2 linked regions of the Danio rerio genome follow. The protein of the gene in region 2 purifies or fractionates together with the protein of the main gene of each other region. This does not show direct contact. Links are inferred from orthologs where the notes say so. Each region holds a gene or a part of one and is shown on either strand. Other genes may lie near its edges.

Evidence for each region. The genes of interacting proteins can lie anywhere in the genome.
Region 1: the proteins of anapc4 (region 2) and cdc26 purify together in Homo sapiens (affinity purification with mass spectrometry; 11 studies listed by BioGRID and IntAct, with this or other methods). This does not show direct contact. The link is inferred for Danio rerio from reciprocal best matches to the Homo sapiens genes ANAPC4 and CDC26.

The regions. Positions count from the first base shown.
Region 1 is NC_133180.1:62,620,788-62,624,640, reverse strand, and holds cdc26 (anaphase-promoting complex subunit CDC26), read left to right. Parts: upstream 1-1,350; 5' UTR 1,351-1,410; intron 1,411-1,899; 5' UTR 1,900-1,924; coding exon 1,925-2,005; intron 2,006-2,954; coding exon 2,955-3,140; 3' UTR 3,141-3,349; downstream 3,350-3,853. UniProt on the Homo sapiens protein: Component of the anaphase promoting complex/cyclosome (APC/C), a cell cycle-regulated E3 ubiquitin ligase that controls progression through mitosis and the G1 phase of the cell cycle.
Region 2 is NC_133195.1:26,086,863-26,090,518, reverse strand, and holds part of anapc4 (anaphase-promoting complex subunit 4), read left to right. Parts: intron 1-117; coding exon 118-182; intron 183-1,787; coding exon 1,788-1,830; intron 1,831-1,928; coding exon 1,929-2,005; intron 2,006-2,071; coding exon 2,072-2,172; intron 2,173-3,656. UniProt on the Homo sapiens protein: Component of the anaphase promoting complex/cyclosome (APC/C), a cell cycle-regulated E3 ubiquitin ligase that controls progression through mitosis and the G1 phase of the cell cycle.

The DNA of each region.
Region 1 (3,853 bases), on a different chromosome or scaffold from region 2:
ACAATGTCGTCTTTTCGACGTCTATTCGACGAACTATTGCTGGGTGGGGAGCTCATCTGTTTGTCGGAACTACTAGACACAATTTTTTTTATCAACTATAATGTGTTTAATTAGTTAATTTAAAATTCATTTCATTATTCCAGCAATAATTGTTGAGTGAAAGAATGCGCTAGAAATTTGCATTGCGGCTCCCTTTATTGTACAGGCTTATTGCACTTAAACTTTTTTAGGTTCGGCTCTCGAATTAGTAAGGTTATGAGTAAATGTTATTTAAAATATTTAAAGCCTGCCATCTAGCCTACAATAACAGCAAATTTAATAATAGAAAAAAATAATAAGACAGGCCTACTTTGGCGTTGCAATAAAATAGTATTAATTATCAAAAAAATAATTACAATATATAATTAAAATAGGAAGAAGTAAATGAAAACAAATGGTACCCTTTGTTTTTATAGCAGGGCCCAAAGTGTTCTTATTCTGGTTCTGCTAACAACTATTAAAAAGAAAAAAAACACACCAAACAATAAAAACACTAGTAACTGATATTAATAATAATAATAATTATTATTATTATAAAGCCCTATTATATTATTATAAAGATTGTTATGAAACAATCATGTAAACCAGGTGCTCCTCGGAAATGGCTATCTTTGCTCTGCATCAGGTGCACAGCAGCAAGAAGCTTGGCAGTGAACTATGACCTTATTTTAATGACAAATGTCTAAGAATACTGCTTTACGTTTTTATTTAATTTATACATACGCAATGAATGTAAGCCTGCTAACTGTGTGTGGTTCAAATGATAGAATATGTAAACTTAGTTAATATATAATTAAATAATAATAATTAAAAGCCTGCGTGTAAGGCTTTTATTTTGAGGGTGACGTCACGAGCGCAGATTTGGTTGACCAATTAGAGGAAAGTGGGCGTTTCAGCACCGCCTACATGTGTAAAATGAATTTTAAAGTCGTTTATCCGTTTTCCTACCCTAAACCAAAAAACGAAAATCCAGCCAAAATCTCGTTTTTTCGTTTTCTCGTGAGCAAAAGGAAAAACGGCCGTTTTCTCCATTTCCTTTATTCCGTTTGAAAATGGAAAACAAATGAACAAAACGTACACGGACCGTTCTAAAACAACAAGTTTTGTACATTTAGTTTTAAAGGTTTAACTAAATAAATCGATCAAAAACTTGAAGAAAAAAACTAAGGTTAATGAACATTTCAACCGTCTATGCCCTTAAATAGACAGTGAAAGAATAATTCAACTAATGCGATTATCAATTTAAAACTTGAAAAAATATAAAAACAGAAAAAACACACACGTTTATCCCTTTTTTCTCCCTTCACGCTTAAACTACATTTCCCATGATTCCTTCTGCTCTTTCTACGGTCTAAAGCGTGAATGATTACGGTAAGTGATGTGAGCTGAAATAGTCATCTTCTTTCAGTTTAGAATTGTTTGTCAATAGTTTGCCAAGCTTACTAAAATAAACGATCTTCACGGTTCATTATCCTGACGTTTGTCACTGTTTAAGACCCAGAATTTAGAGCTACTAGGCTAATTAGCATGTAGCTGCTAAACAATAACGTTATGGTGTTGAAGCAGGCGTCGCTGAATTTCTTGAAATTACGAAATACACAACACGACGGTAAACGTTCAAGTAAAGTGTACTGTGTATGCAGATATAATACTGCAATCATGGGCTTTTGCAACGTTAGGTTCCTTAAAACATAGCATTTGAGCTTTCTCAGAGTCAAAATATATATGAAGAGTTGAATAGAACTACCACAACTCAACTAGGTTAACCCATCGATTTCTAATGAACATACATTATATATGTAACGTTAACGTTAATAAGTGTGTAAATTAACTTAAGCAGCGCGTGTAACGTGTTTCCAGGCAACGAGAAGCCGGTGATGTGAAGATGCTGAGGAGGAAACCAACGCGCCTCGAGCTCAAGCTGGACGACACGGAGGAGTTTGAAAGTGTCAAGAAAGAGCTGGAGGTAAAATTTTGGACTTGTCATCGTGTCTTAAACATGTGTCATAAATAGTTGCTTCAATTTACTGTACACACATAAAGACATGTTCCTTCATCCCAGTGGGGACTCTCATAGACCCCTTAATGATGGTTCTACTGTACAAACAGTAGATTCTATCCCCCTACCCCTAAACACAACCCAATTTATCTGTACTGCATGTCTTTGGACTGTGGGGGAAACCGGAGCACCCGGAGGGAACCCACGCGAATGCAGGGAGAACATGCAAACTCCACACAGAAACGCCAACTGAACCATGGTTCGAACCAGCGACCTTCTTGCTGTGAGGCGACAGCACTAGGTCTGGTGCGACTGCTTCGTCCGAGGACAGGATTTTCCCGAATGTAATTCTATAAATTTGATGGGAGTAAACCCAATATAGAAATGTAAACAGAGATACGCTAGTGCTTGAGCCTACAAATGGACAAAGCAGTAAAATTAGTTATAAATCTTAGTGCAGCATGGTAAACAGTGTCCAGTGCATGCAGACTAGAAGACGAAGCATACATATAGATAACATCAGCGTAGTCCAATATCAACATAAATGTTGCATCAACCAGCTTTTTTGTAGCATCAAAAGTAAAGTTGTATTGGAGTTGTTCTACAGCTGATTTTGATAGACTACAGTTATGTGTTAGTAACCACAGCGAAAATATATTTCTGCTAAAAACATTATCAATTATGATTAAGTTATGATAATGATATTATTAGGTTATGAAAATGATACTTTAGTCCCTGCTCTCCCCTACTTAATTAAAATAAAGCAAAAATTCTTAGTCCACCACTGCAAATCAGTCAGTAATAGTGTGATTTCTTCATCATTCTTTTTCTCATTTAAAAGCAAGCATGTAAGCAAATCTTACAGAAAGTAAGAAGCTTTCTATAATCTCATGTTACTTTCCCCACATGTGTTAAGAGTCGGAAGAAACAGAGGGATGAGGTGGATGTCGTCGGTGTCGCCACATCCAGTGAGATGAGCGGAGCGGCAGGTGGCACTGCTGATGGGAAAACCAGAGAGCAGATGATTCACGAGAGAATTGGATACAAACCCCACCCCAAGCCTAACACGTTACCATCGCTCTTCGGAAACCTTCAGTTTTGACAAGTGCCAATCCTGAACAATGGACTATAAGGTCTTGAGAATCTGTAACACAGACACGTACGTGCACACAGAATATATTCTGCATCAATCTTGCCAGATTAGAAATGGACATAAAATTATGGCTTTGGTTAACGGTGTTTGTGATAACTGATTTCAAATGACTATTTTTCTATTGAAATAAATAAAGCCTTTCTAGTTGGATGTGGAAATGGTGTGTAAATGTGATATTGGCAGAATTATATTTTTGATAATACCGATTAGGGCGCAACGATTATAAATTTTGGTTGTACGATTATAGTATTAGAAATAATCACGTTTATCATGATTATTTGCATTCATTGATCCCAAAACCCCATTAGTTTATAAATAGTTTAAAACGGTTTTAAATTTTGTTTTATATATTGTGCCCAACTAAATATTTGTTGCTGGTTTAATCGTTTAATTTTATTTAAGTGCATATAAAAAATTCAGTGGATATTATTGATGCATTATTTGGTAAAACTGCTCATTCAATGTGTTTTTGGTCATTATCAATGCACCGGTAAAATAGACCCAGCGGCGAAACCACGACTGCTTGCATGATGCTCATGCCTCGTGTTGACGCACTGCTTCTGCATGCAGTATGAAAGCTCTAATCTGTTAACATGGATGCGAAAAAAAACACTCTCTGGTCATGCCTGCGGTGTGAAACAGGCTTGAGTCTTTCACCACTG
Region 2 (3,656 bases):
TTAAACCACAGTTGATTATTGCAATAATGGACTGATCCACTGAAGCTATCCTAACTGGCTTTGATTTGTTTATTAAAACTTTTAGAACAGTTGATGAGTTGCAGTGTTGTTTTACAGGAAAAAAACACAAGCACTCAGGTTCAGGATGAGTTTTTGGAGCTGCTGTTATGGGGCCATGCAAGGTAAACAATTTATAGATGAAATAGATGAAATGTTCATTCATGAGTTAAAGTGAAACTGCCGAACTGCAGTTAAAGTCAGGCATCCTGCTGATTTCATTCAGAAGGGCACTTTTTGTCAGACGGCTCACCGGTCAGGTATACATATCAAGGTGAAAGTCATCATAGCTTGCGTAGAATAGACCCAGCTCCCAAACCAACTTTGAGAGTACATTCACGGCAATATTTTTTTGTTGCGCGATAAGAGTCTCGTGTTAGCGCAGCACGTATATTTTATTTATTTATTTTTATTTATTTAAATCTGAGTATTTGATATAATTTTAAAATAAACTTTTAAATCATATATTTAAAACAAATTGTATTATATTGAAGTAGACATGTCACATAGATTTTAGATTTCTTCTATGTACAATTGAGGGCAAAACGAAGAAATTATTGTAATATTTAACAGAGCAAGGACAGTATTTCCTATAATATTTTTTCTTCTGGAGAAAGTCTTATTTCTTTTAGTTTTGCTTAAATAAAAGAAGTTTTACATTAATCCGTTAAGGCCAGGTTTATTAGCCCTTTAAGAAATATTTATTTTTGATTGGTTACAGGACTTATCCAATAACTTGCCTAATTAAATTAACGTACAAAGTTAACCCAATAAACTTATTTAAGCCTTTAAATGTCACTTTAAGCTGAATTCCAGTGTCCTGCAAAGTAATTAGTAAAATATGATGGACTGTCATCACTGCAAAGACAGTCATAAAAAGATAGTCATTAAAACTAATATGTTTAGAAATGTGTTCTTCTCTGTTCAGCAGCACTTGTTTTTTTTTTTAAATAGTTCAAAATTAACAGGAGGCTAATAATTTTGATTTAACTGTACATGAAATCAGTTTTTGTTTAATGTAATTTTAAGTGATAGTCTAAACAAATATAAATACTTCCTAAGTGTTTCTAAACTTTCATGAATTTCTTTTTGCTGTTGAACACAAATCAATATGTTCTAAAGAATGTTGCAAACCTGCAGTCATTGACATTCACAGTGGGAACAGAAATGCTGTGGCTGCTGCTTCCCAACATTCTTCAAAGCATCTTCTTTTTTGGAACAGGTTTGAAACAAGTGGAAGATAAGCAAATGATAACAGAGTTTTCATTTTCGGGTGAACTATTCCTTTAATGTGGACACCAAAATGGCACATCTTGTCTCTGTTTGGAATGTAAATATATGCCTCAGTGGGATGCCTTGAAGACAAAAAGGTTGAGAAGTACCACAGTCAACCTTCTCATGCTTGTATTTGCTCTGAATGACCAACAGAGGGCACAATGTGACTTTAAAACTTTTACAGCTACCGACAGAATCTGAAAAAATACCATCTACAATACATTCATTTACAACCATTATCCAAAGGCTGTCACTAGTAGGGAAATAAGCCAAAATGTGTTTTTTCACCCCATAGATCCTTATTTCTGGATGAACAAAAAAACTTTAAGGAAAAAAATGTTCAGGTTTTTTTTAGATCTCCAGCCTGAATACAAACAGCTGTAGTACTGTTTTTTTGATGATGATGTGTTGATGTTACTTTTTTAAAACTTTATAAATGCAGTTTTCTCTTTCAGCCCTGAACTTCAGGCTCTTCTCATGAATCAGCTCACAGTCAAGGTAAATCTACCTTGCTAATCCTATCTGCTTACATTGCTTTAGTGATTATTACCAACATCATTCATTGTAACTACATTTTTTGTTATTTGACCACTCAGGGCTTGAAGATGCTGGGTCAGTCTATTGATTCTTCCTATTCCAGCATTCAGAAACTTGTTATCAGTCACTTGCAGAGGTGGGTATTGTTCACCTGATAGAGAGTGTTAGCGATCAGCATGATCAGTGTTTGCTGTTCCCATAGTGGCTCTGAGGCGCTGCTCTATCACCTGAGCGAGGTCAAAGGAATGGCTCTATGGAAGCAGAAGTTTCAGCCTCTAGGCCTGGATCCTTCAGACATAGAGGGTAAAACAATCACTGTTTGTAGACTTTAATTATTTTATTATTATTTATATTCTATTATTCATGAATACTTTGAATCAGTTTCAACAATATATTATATATTTTTCATTTTATGTGTTATGCGCATTAATATTTAATTCTAATATGTATATCAAAGGGCCATGACTCCACCCCTTTCTCAGCAGGGTCTTTTCAGACCTCTAGTTTGAAAAATGTCTGGAAAGTGGGTTAGTCCAGCTTTGTTTAGGCGGGAGTGTCGAGTGGAAAAAGAGGGAAGGGTTTGCATGAAAAGGGGAGTTTCATTACGAGCACTACAGCTGATTTTCACAGCGGCAACGCAAACATGGACACAAGGGAGATAGACTGTGATTACTTTTACAAGGACATCAGTAATCAAATTATTTGCTTTAATCTGAAAAAGACAATAATAAGATTAAGGTGTTTACATGAGTTGCTTTTAAATGTTCCTTTAATGCTTGAGACTAGGTAGGTGCAGAGAATAGCATTAAACAGCCGTGTGTGTATAGACTATCCTGTCACAAAAATGTGGTGAAAATCCAACACAATGATATTAGTTTGATTAATGTGTTTACATTTGGAGAGCAGCATTTACAGCGGATCTATCAGTCCATAATATTGTAGTGATTTTAACATACTGTAAATTTAGTAACTTAATCATTTTGACTAAGGCATGTCTTTAAAAACTGAAAGAGTACTGCTGATGATACTAACTAACTTTGCCATCTGAATAAACATAAACAACAAACACTGATCACACACTTACTAAAACCTTAAAGACAGGACAATCAACTCCAACTGGAACTCCAACTTTTTAAAAAAGAAACGAGTGGCTTTTCTGGATTTCACTATATACATATGCAAAAAGCTCTTCGGTACAGAAATGTTCCTTACAAACATATTTTTATTGCGTGTTAGCAGACCACTGTAATGCACATATGTGGGTCCACACACTGTGCTATACTAATGCTGTGCAATACTGGTGACCCTCGTCTCAAAACAATTCTTCTTTTTCCACTTGTTTTAATTACGGTTGGAAATACAACGTGGTGTCTCTCTGAACACCGTAACAGGTAAAAACAGTCTTCGAAGCTATCATGCATATTAATGAAGTTACACCTCACACACAATAGAGCACGCTGATTGGTTCGAACCAAGTCTTTCTCATGAGTTAATGATAAAAACTAAAAAATGTCAATTTGTACTAGCCGGTACAGACATCCAGTCTGTACTCTGGTATTTACACAAGAATCTCATGGCCGTGACGTAGTTTTGAAATTTATTTTCAAACCGGAAGATCTAATTTGCTCGAAATAATGCAAAACAACCAGTTTTCACTTTCACGCGTAGGACACAAATATCACTTTCAACATCTCAAAAAATTGTGTTTTGGTGTTTTGTGATCCTTTAATGTAGTCGCATGGTTATTTTAATCTAGACTTTGTTCAGTTAACAATAATAATAGTTTT